Caenorhabditis elegans: one gene and its partner. The protein of the gene in region 1 interacts with the protein of each later gene in a pairwise test. Each region holds a gene or a part of one and is shown on either strand. Other genes may lie near its edges. The genes, in order: spdl-1 and frm-2.

Evidence for each region.
Region 2: the proteins of spdl-1 (region 1) and frm-2 interact in a two-hybrid assay, tested with the Caenorhabditis elegans proteins (one study listed by BioGRID).

What each region holds. Positions count from the first base shown.
Region 1 is NC_003280.10:7,779,811-7,783,915, forward strand, and holds spdl-1 (Spindly-like protein spdl-1), read left to right. Parts: upstream 1-1,755; 5' UTR 1,756-1,776; coding exon 1,777-1,812; intron 1,813-1,860; coding exon 1,861-2,103; intron 2,104-2,149; coding exon 2,150-2,473; intron 2,474-2,521; coding exon 2,522-3,154; intron 3,155-3,199; coding exon 3,200-3,403; 3' UTR 3,404-3,541; downstream 3,542-4,105. Other genes in the region: snpc-1.1 (snRNA-activating protein complex subunit 1), read right to left, coding at 1-119, 166-247, 309-627, 672-881, 927-995, 1,041-1,118, 1,169-1,253, 1,302-1,399; skr-17 (Skp1-related protein), read left to right, coding at 4,068-4,105. UniProt on the Caenorhabditis elegans protein: Transient kinetochore component required for chromosome and spindle pole alignment and chromosome segregation during mitosis.
Region 2 is NC_003281.10:5,976,169-5,983,340, reverse strand, and holds frm-2 (Moesin/ezrin/radixin homolog 1), read left to right. Parts: upstream 1-2,024; coding exon 2,025-2,072; intron 2,073-2,821; exon of another isoform or gene 2,822-2,957; intron 2,958-3,477; coding exon 3,478-3,633; intron 3,634-3,867; coding exon 3,868-3,972; intron 3,973-4,027; coding exon 4,028-4,152; intron 4,153-4,197; coding exon 4,198-4,295; intron 4,296-4,351; coding exon 4,352-4,472; intron 4,473-4,968; coding exon 4,969-5,218; intron 5,219-5,326; coding exon 5,327-5,665; intron 5,666-5,901; coding exon 5,902-6,336; intron 6,337-6,392; coding exon 6,393-6,485; downstream 6,486-7,172.

The DNA of each region.
Region 1 (4,105 bases):
TGGCAGCATACTCATTTCGTAGAACTTCTTCAGCCAATGCATTATCGTCTAATAACTCTTCAGGATTAACTGTTGTCGTTTTTCTGCGTCGCCGTTGTCTTACAGGGCGATCAATCGGGCTGTAAAAATAGGTTATTATTTTGGGGTTAAACTGTAATTGCTTACATTGGAACCTGAGCATCATTATCATCCAAACATTCCTGGGCGATGTCACCAAACGTTCTTGCGGTAAGATGTTTGAAGTTTTCTGCAAAAGTTGAACGCTGACTTTTGAAAAAAAAAAACATATTTTCGTGTAATAAATGTACCTTCCATGTTTGGATCAAGATGCCTTCTTTGTCTAGTGTGTTTTAGTCCTTCAGCATATGCTTTACTTCTCAAAGTTGATCTGCTTGAACCAGCTGTTTCCTCTGGAGCGCTACTAATTTCTGGATTTGTTGGAGAACTTTCGAACTGTTCTTTATATTTTTCGACAATGCCCTTGATTTCGTGTAATGGTGATTTGAGCCCCGTTAGAGTATCACTTAGTCCAAGTTTTTGCTTAGCCTCTGTGTAAACTCCGTGAATAAATGATAATTCCGTCATAATATCAGAACTGAGCATTTTCGTAACACTGGAAAACGGCTCCTGAAACTGTTTATGAAAAAATTCCAATAATTTAACTTACTTACAACTGGAATTTTGTTAAAATAGGGCAACTCTTCCTCGGCAAGGTATTTTTTGTGGGTTGCCGGATCATATGTCGACTGAAACACTTTAATTCTAAACGCTTTCTTCAGAATAAGCATTTTGAGAGCCGCAATTGGTTCAAGAAGTTTTTCGACTTCTAAAGATTTTTGAAATTCGAGAAGCTCTTCGAATTGTACCGCAGTGACCGGAATCTGAATTAAATTTTTTAAAACTAAATTAAACTTAGAATTAATCACCTGACAGACATGATCAACTGGCTGCAAATTGTACAACGCATAGCAAACATAAACTCCGAATAGCCTCTCCTGAAAATATAACATTTCAGACTTATTTTTACTTCTATTTCAAACCTTGAATGCCCTGAATGCTCCAACTTCATTCACTTTTCCGAAATACATTGCTGCGTGTTGTAACAGGTATTCAGTAAACTGAAAGCCGGAATATTATAATAGACTAAATAAAATCAAAATAAAGCTACCTCTAAGCATTCGGCAGGATTTAATCGATAATGAAGAATGGTCTCAAAATGCATATCCCGAAAAACATCAGCAAAGTCTCGAATTCTTAATTAATCAAGATTTTCCATCAAATAATACATTTTCTAACTATACCTGTTGGATCCCATAGATATAAACTTGTTGCACAATAAATGAAGATCTTGTTTAACTCCAGTTCCCATAAATGGCGTGGGAATACCTCCAGAAGCCATTGCGACTCGTTTTTTCCTTGAATCTTCAGAAATAAATCCGAAAATAATTGACGAAAATAAAAACATGCAAGTGCGCTCTATCGTGAACAACCAATTCTCGGCGGGAACCAGCGGTATTCAACGCATTTCAAAATGAGTTGCGCCTCAATTTACCTAAAAATATTGTTTTTCAATCGTTTTGATATAATTTAGCTCAAAATATTCCCATAAAATTAGTTTAAATATATTCGCAATCAATTTTACGCTTTATTAAAACATCAAAAGCTATAGATCTGCGTGAAACGTTCTTATAAATCGTGTTGCCGTGAAAAATATTCTACTGATCGTTTTCTATCGAAACATTTTCATGTTTTCAGAAGAATCGAACTTCAATCAGTATGCCTGACGACGAGGAGAAGCTCCAATTACTTGCTGTAACGTTTTATCATTTCATCTATTACCAACTAAACCTAATATTTCAGGACGTTGAGAGGCTCAAGAAAATTCTCCGTCAAAAAGATGAAATGCTCGAGGAGATGGAAGACGATCTCAAAAATCAGGGAAAACCTTGTTCTTCCAAACTTTCACTCGAAGAACGTGCACAAGAATTGAGTGAACAACTTCGCGATCTTCATGTTGAGATGGACGGAAAAAACGCCACAATTCTTGATCGGGACGCTCTCATCGATTCACTGCGTAGTGAGATCGACAAACTCGAAAAAATTGTAGGTTTTCATCATTGTGGGCAACATTAATATATTGAATTCTCAGAATAAGGAGTTTGCCAACGGATCAGTGATTCCCGAACATGATGATTCCAATTCCTTCGGAGAATCTGAAATGCTTCGTATTAGCGAAGATTGTCAGAAATACAAAGAGACGGCGACTGCTCTTTACGAACGAAACGCCGAACTCGAAAAAGAAGCGGTCAACTTGAAAGATGAAATTGAGTCGATGATGGATCATATTCGGGACCTCAAAAATCATATGGAGACGCGTGATGAGGAAATTGCCAGATTGGAAGGAGAGCTTTTTGATGAGAGAAACTCCCATGAAGGAAAATTAGCGGCACGCGGAAATTCAATGTTTTCTGAGGTAGGTTAAAAAATATCAATTAACTGCATTTTTTTTAATATTCTTCAGGTTATTGATGCCGAGCGGAAGGTTGAAGAAGACCTGAAAGTTCTTCATGGAGAGAATCGAGCACTGAAAGGGATGGTAAAACGTCTTCGAATGGAAGTAGAAGAAGTCGAAGAAAGACTTCGGTCATCCACAAAAAGATTCAACGTTACCCGAATGACCACAAGTGATATTGATGTCAAAGAGATGCGTCGTCTCAGAGACAGAGTTTGTCACCTGGAAACGGAAAGGGTTCATTTGTGGGAAAGAATGTTCATTAAAATGAGGTCAATTCCAAAACGCGAAGTGGGAGCGTTGATTACCGGCTACTTCAAGTCGTTCGAATTGTCAATTGCGAGCGTGAAAGGAGGTTTTGACGGTTTGATGAAGGACAACGAAAAGTACGTGACAATTATTCGTGGATTGCAACAGGAAGTAGAAAATCTCAAAGCGGACATTGTGCAACTACAATTCGACAATAAATGTGCTCACAGAAAAGCTGCACCAGTTGTCAATAAGGATTTCGAGCACCCGCTTCTTGCTGCTCCTCTGAAAACTCTTAACAATGGACGACCATCATTCTTCATTAAACCGAAAAACGTGGAACCCATGCCTCAATTAGGGCATTCATTATCCAGTATTGCCGTTACGCCACAGGTAGATAAAAGTGCAACTTTTCACTATAAATAATTATTTTTCCAGAAACCAGCAGCTAAATTCACCACTCGTTCCTCCATCAAAGATGATACTTCAGAATGGGCAGAACGTCGTATGAAAGCTCAAGCTGAAAAGAAATTGGCGACTCCGACGCCGCGTTACAACTATATCAAACTGTCCGAGCCCGTTCCAAAATTCAAACCGGCTGTTCTTCAAATGCCATCAACCTCAGAAACAAAGGAAAACTGAGTAAACATCATGTTCGTAGTCATCTCGTATTCATATAAAACCGCCTGTATTGATCTCGTCCCCTCTATTCACCAAGTTTTGTCGATTATTCTACAATGTTTCCTATTTAATGCATGTCAAATAAAATTATTTTTATTATAACGCTCATTCTTAGATTGTTGATGTTCAAGAACTTGATAGAGCCGCTGGCGGGAGTGCAGTGGAGCGCGAAACCCTATCGATATTACACGATCACTTATTGATTTATATATTTTTAATATTTATTATTGTAAATATGGGGTAGAATATAGAAAAATATTTTCCAGATTTTCTCTTCCCTACAATCTTCGGAGATCTCGTATGGATATGCTTTCGATATAGGTTCAGTTCTTACTACTAGTAACATTTGAGAGAGCTTAAAATTTAAAAATTGTAAACCGTTCGAATTTGTTCTGGTGTGGGGTTCGCATGATATTGATCGTTTTTAATATTTACGATGATTTTTTGTGTTGTGCGAGGGTGTTTTAAAATTTGAATTTGCCGCCGAATGAAGTAGAACAAGAACGCAAATGCGCTCTGTGGCGAATGGTGTTCGACAAAAAGTTTTTAAGATCATTTTCTCAGCAAAATTTCGTTTCCTTTCTAATTTTTCCATTTCAGACATCACATTTCGTCCGGAAAGCAGATGCCGAAGAAGAACAATACAAAACGAGCACCACCAAG
Region 2 (7,172 bases), on another chromosome or scaffold:
CCTTGTTCACCTAAACATCCACTTCTATTCAACAAATACTTTCAACACTCACATGTGGTTAACTATTTCTTTTCTTGACACAGAGTTTCTATTCACTTTTTATTCCTGCGTCTCTACGCGTTTCAATTCTATCTCCTCTCACTCCAAAACTTATTTACCATTTGTTTTCACAGTCATCACTTCCTCAACCCACTCGAATAACATTTGTAATTCTCGCGCACAGTCCCATCCCACTTATTCTTTTCATTTTCGAGGGTCCCATTTCTGTCTAAATCTCTCCACTTCATATACTATTCTCGCATATCCTACCTCCAACTTCTCCACACAGCCGCCTGTCTCTACAACCTTTTCCATCTGTCTTTTCCGCTTTACAAGGCCATTTTTTGACTGATCCATCTCTAAACTCTCCTAGAATCACATGATATCTCGGAGGTGTGGACGTTCCTCTTGATTCGATTAACTCGGCCAAGTTCGTCTTAAGTTATTCTTTTATGATATATCTATTCATTTTTTATTTATTCTCCGAGAAAAAGTTGGATTTTGGTTTTAAATATTTAGCACGAAAATCGAAATTTGGATAACAAATTTCGAATTTCCAAACATCAAAGTTTCTCTACTAGTTAATGCAGGACTAGGAAAAACTAGATTTTTCATTAAAAAAGCAATTGTGATATTAGATTTTTTTCACTTTTCTTGTTTTTACCTAGAAAAAAAATGGGGTTAAAGCTTGTTTTCAAAATTTTCAGCCACTTTTTTAAACTTCCTAATCTAAAGGAATGATTTGAAACTTGTTTTTATAATAACGAATTGTTTATTAGTATTGTTGTACTTTAGTTTAAGTATGATGTACCAATTTGAATAATTGTTGAATCAAACATTTTCACTTTTTCAGTAATTGTATCTATGTACATAAAAATTTTAAAATTAATACTCTATTCAAATGATTTTTTTCAAATTCCAGTTCGTATTTGTAAATTTCCAAATTCTGGAAGATTCGTTCGACCTTTTTTCTAATGTTCTTCTATCTAAAATAAATTGGGATATTAGTATCAATCTTCTCATTTTTTATTATTTTCCTTTTTCAGTTCATGAAACACATACCCCTCCAAATATTTCACAATATGTATTTTTTGTTATTATTTCAGCCGTTTTGCATCGTTCTATTTATTCAACTGATTCTTCTTTTTCCAACTAACCAATTGTCAATCTTGCAGAAAAAACGAACGATATCCGGTGAGCAGCGGCTCGCTGAGCACCTATTTTTTAGAAACATCTGAAAAAGATCAGAGATTGGACTGTAAAAGTAAGTTTTGTTTCGGGTGTATAACCTCATATTTTCGAAAAATTTGAAATTACAATTCCCAATAAAAGTAAGGTTTTTCGAAATTTTCTTTTAAATTATTAATTAACAAAAAAAGTGACAATTATGTACTTTTGTCCAACTATTAATATATCTTAAATATGTTTTATTTGTATTTGAACATTTTGGGGTTAGAACATGCAGCAATGCTCAAAAACTTGTCAACAATTTTTTTTTTCAATTTGACAATTTACCAAAGCTTTTTTTCAATCCCTAGAAGATTCTCGAGATGACCTCCAAGCGAGTCATTTCTTCCTTATTTCTATCAATAGTCATCAGTCATCACTTGCGATTATATCACCCCTTTTCCTCGCTTATCATCTTATCAACACACTCGGTTCACTCAAAATATCAACAGCTTTTAGGACACTTTTCCTCAAAAAATCGACACCCCGTATGTAATACAAATACACACAAAACACGTCGTAACATAAAATTCTGAATCTGAAAATAGGAAAGTAGGTGGAGAAAGGGTACATTAAAAGCAGAAGAAGAATCGAACGAAAAGAAAAAGAGTGATAAGAATAAGAGAAGGGACACACAACACTCCGAGTGTTGCAGCTGATTATCAGTTGTGTCCATTCTTCGTTTTTCACCCTCGAAGAGTCAAACGGCCATTCGACTTTATTTTGAAATTCTAAGTTTTTAACAGAAATTCTTTATTATGTCAAGTGACGAGGAAGATGAGAACTCTCAAAGAGAGCCAAAAGATGTGAGTTTTCGGTTGAATCTAATGCAACTTACCGTCTACCGATTCACCAACTGAATACATCTATGTTTATTTGAGTTGGAAAACTGTCATCTTTAAGCCTACATGCCTGCCTACCACCTATTAAAAGCTTTTTGGCGTGAACATCAGTGTTTGATGCTGCAAAATATAGACTTGAGCACATTAAAATCATGAAGATGTAACATGCAAGCATAAAATATGATTCAAGTAACATTTTGTATGCTCATTGGGTGAGCACACAAAATGGAAAATTGACACAATTGTAGTAAGGTCAGTCGTGCAACATTTAATTGCAAGATTACAACTGCATAGAAAATGCAATTTGAAAAGAGAACTTCAAAAATTCTGTAAGACAGCCAATGTACCGACGCAATAAATCTTATTTTGGTGCAAATGTGTTTTTATAAACCTGTGCCATTTCAAATTTAGCTGTGTCCCTAAGCTTCATTTTGCTCTCTGTATTCTCTTTCGGTGCTCTTTCCAAAAGCTCCACATCTGGTACCTATTGCTCCAAATGAACTCTTTTGCTGACCCTGATGTGCAACAGATGCTTTGCGCGCACACACATGTTACTTTTTTCCAATTCATTTGATTCGGTCGGACACTCACTTTTAGATATTCCCATATACCATTCCCAACAACGACAAAATATAGATAAACATTGATCAAACCTCAAGTTAATTTACGCATCTCTTTGTCTGCGTCTCTACATCTTTCTCGATCTCTTCATCTTTATTTACGTTTGCTCTTCATCTCTGTTCAAAACCGTAACCGGCCAAAAGAGGGAAGAGCAGAGAGATAGAGTGGTTTATAGTGAGACGCAGACATCGGTGCACCGGGCAACCAGCCGGCTCGCCATAAATCGTCGAATTCTATTGATTGACTTTTATTGTATTTCTATTATAAAAAGTTGAATTTCAGAATTGTTTTGTGTTTTACTTTTTACTATGAAGTTATTGCAAGAGCTGATTTGGTAAGAGCCCTCTTACTATTTTTTTTTCAAAAATATGAATTTCGAAACACTAATAAAGTTCATTTCTGATTCGTTTTTGATATAATCATTAGCTTCATTGACGTTTTGGAGTACTGCTCAAAAAATATAGCTCCTAACAAGTGTAACTCTAAAAATTTGGGTTGTGTAAAGTTTTGGTTTTTTTTGAATTTTTTTAATGTGCAAAATTAATCTCTCAATTTTGAAAGTAAAACAAAAACTAAAAGATTTTTTTAAAATTGAAAATATTTTTTGTTTATGAAATATTTTTAAATTAAAATGTTAACCTCTAAAAATACTAATCAACAGTTTCAATTTTTAAAAAAGTCCAGAGCTGTGTGCCAAACAAATCCAGAAGTTGGTTTAAACTCTTAGAAACTCTTTGGTTATTTTCAGATGTCCTGGATGTTGCGAAGTCTATCAGCCAGATTCTCACGGAATCGTCAACAGCAACAGAAGTCACAAACACAGGATGCAAGCTTTGATACGAAAAAGTTTGTTCAGTGCAAGGTGCTTCTGCTTGATGGAGCACATTTAAATATTGTCGTGCCGGTGAGTGGTCTTTTTATTTTTGAAAATAACTGTTATTAAATGTCGGTTCTTGTAGAACTATTTTGGCAAATTAGTGCCTGAAATTCAAAGAAAAATGGAGTCAAAAATCATAGATAAACCTATTGCGAATAAAAAAAGTGGCAAAATGTGTTGCATATGCAGATTAATTATTTTTTAAAAAGTTTTTATAATTCTCGAACATCCATTCTAGTATCTCAAAATATAAATTTTCAGAGAAACGCTGTAGGAAGTGAACTTTACGAAGAAGTATTCTACTCGCTTGACCTAGAAGAGAGGGACTATTTTGGCCTGCAGTACACAGATCCATTCAATGTTCAGGTATTCATTTAATTATTTCTTTATTTTATTTTTTCAAACCTTTTTATATTTCCAGCACTGGCTAGACCCTACAAAAAAAGTTGCAAAACAAGTGGCAATTGGACCTCCATTTACTCTTCGGTTTCGTGTTAAATTCTTTACTTCGGAACCTTCTAGCAATTTGAAAGAAGAGCTTACAAGGTATACTTAATCAGTAATGTATTTTTTTAAAATAAATTTCTGCAGGTATCAATTCTTTTTGCAAATAAAACAAGATATCTCCTCAGGACGTCTGCAATGTCCACATCAGTTAGCAATTGAACTAGCTGCTTTTGCACTTCAATGTGAGTTTTTTTTCAATTCTAAAAAAATTAAGCATTTTAAACATAAAAAATTTCAGCAGAACTAGGCGATTACAACCCAGAACTTCATACAGCCCTCTTTATCTCAGAATTTCGATTTCATCCGGAGCAAGATGAAAAAATGGAAGTCGAGATATTGGAGAGGTACAAAGCGTGCCGGTAAGTTTTTTTGTTATAAAATTAAAAAAAAGATTGTTAGAAAACTTTACAGCACATGTAAAATATAGTCTAAAAATTTAAAAACTGGAAAACCTTTTAGAGTTTGATATTACTTTCCCGAAAATGTCAATTTTTGAAATGCATTATATTGTTCTGGTATTTGCCAGAAATCAATATTCTAATCAGTGTGAAACCCGGGATTTTCTGCTGGATCAAATTAGAGGACACCTGAAAGTTGAGAGAAACTTGGTTAGACGTAAATATTTCAATCAGGAAATTGACTATTTGAGAATCAAAACTACATAGATACAATTTTAAATTTGATAACAAATGTTTGATAATTTCAATCTTAAAGAACAAAAAATACACTTATTTGAAAATTGCAGTATTTGCCTAAGTTTCAAATAAAAACATTTCGGACAGAAAAAAATTACCTAATTGGTTTTATTTTCAATTTCATGCTTCTCAATCTAAAAACTAAAATAACATTTTTCAGTGGACAAACTCCGGCTCAAGCGGAGTTGAACTACTTGAATAAGGCACGATGGATTGAAATGTACGGAGTAGATATGCATATTGTAGAAGGAAAAGATGGAAATACATATCGATTGGGTTTAACTCCACAAGGAATGCTGGTATTTGATGGTCCACAGAAAATTGGACTCTTTTTATGGGAAAAACTACAAAAATTGGATTTCAAAAATAAGAAAATTACACTGGTTGTCGAGGAGGATGCTGATCAATCGGTGAGTTTTTTTAATGAAAAGTTTAATGAAGATTAGAGTAGCAGTTTTGTACAATTTATTAATTGAAAAAAATGTGCAAAATAACTTTAAAAATAGTAACTTTTTCAGAACAATGGCCAAATCCAGCTGCACACGTTCGTTTTTCACTTGACGTCTGAAAAAGCGGCAAAACATTTCTGGAAATGTGCCATCGAGCAACACGCATTTTTCCGCCTCAAATCTCGCCCAATCCAAGCGAATCGCAAAATTCAGTTCTTCCGGTTAGGAAGCACATTTAAGTATAGAGGCAGGACAGAATATGAAACAATTCATAAGGAAGGAGCAAGATTATCACGAAGACAATCATGCTCATTTGAAAGAAGACCTAGTCAGAGATATGGTCCACGGCAAAGTCATGTGACAAATGCACAAATTAGGGATGCAAAGAGAGCTGAAATGAGGCAACAGGTACATTTCACGCTAAAAATTCAACAAAAATTGGAGTAATTATTTAGAGTTTATTTTTCGATTCATGAAACATTTGGCATCGATCTAACGTTCAATTTTAAATTTTGCTCACTAGTCAGTTCAAAAGGTTTAACCTATCATTTTTGGAAAGTCGGATACAATTTTTTAAAAAACTTAAAAATTTTTTAATTTCTGAATTAGCTTAAACTCAAAAATGCAAACAAACTTTTTTCCAGATAATTGAGCAACAAAGAGCCAATGATCAACAGCGAACCCATGCAAAATCAGATCCAACTTCTCCACATTCAATAATTCAAAACGTTCCATTACCAACATCTCCAGACCTCAAAAAACCAGTAAACAACAGTAATCCATTTATTTCGGATCCTTTAACACCTTCATCATCATCATCATCATCCTCTCATAATCTGTCACATGTAACTAAAATAACAGTTGGAACAATTGGAAATCTCGATACTCCATCATCTTCTGCTGCCCCATCTTCATATATTCCACGTCCAGTTGTCTCAACATCCACATCATTCTCACATCCGCCACCACTTCCAGCTCATCAGTCAAATTCGAAAATTCCCAGAATGAGCAGTGCATCGGAGCAGCGGAAGAGCTCACAACCTCCACAACCAGCTGTTCGAATGCAGACTCAATTTGAAGTAAGTTAAATTTATTGATGGACAGTATGTTTTCAAATACTCCATAAACTTTCCAGGAGCCACGAAAATATTCACAAAATGGATGTGCTCCGCCATCTCGTATTGTTCCCCCAATGCAACATCAACGGAGAATTGTCACAGACTTTTGATAATGTATTTACATTTGCAGCCTTTATTTTGTTGTTTTCAGTCATTTTTCATATAATGAAATGATTTTCTTTCTTATAACATTTTCAGATAATTTCTAATCGCACTTTATAAAATGATACAAAAATTTCGTATTTTCTCGAAAAACCCAAAAACTCCGGCTCCTGCCTGAAAAGTGCTAGAGTCTTCTAATCTGGTCACTCTTTTCATTCCACGTGTGTCTATTTGCACCGGCTCGAGTGCAATCGGGATATTCCCCTCTGAAATCCAGTCCCTCCATCCTGTTTTCTCTCACTCATTTTTTCACTTTTTTGCATTTTTTCCACCAGAGAAACTATTTGTCTTCATTCTCCTTCCTTTCCTCCTCCAACAAAATCTTATGCTCTCCCGCCACCCCCACTCACTACACAAACACTGACGATCGTTTTGAGCACAGCCAATTTCTTTCCGATTTTCGATCAATTCAGACTGTGTTCTGTGTAAGTACTTTGCCCTCCTTCCCTTCACTGGACTTCATCTGAAGCCACCACTTCCACACGTTATCCTGAATTTGAATGTGGAATGTTTGGAAAAGTGATGATGATTGTATGATAACTATCGAGAGACGTAGACATAGAGATATCTCCGATCCACTAATTGGAACCAGAGACTGACTGACTGACCCCCCTCATCAACTCTCTTCACTTCAC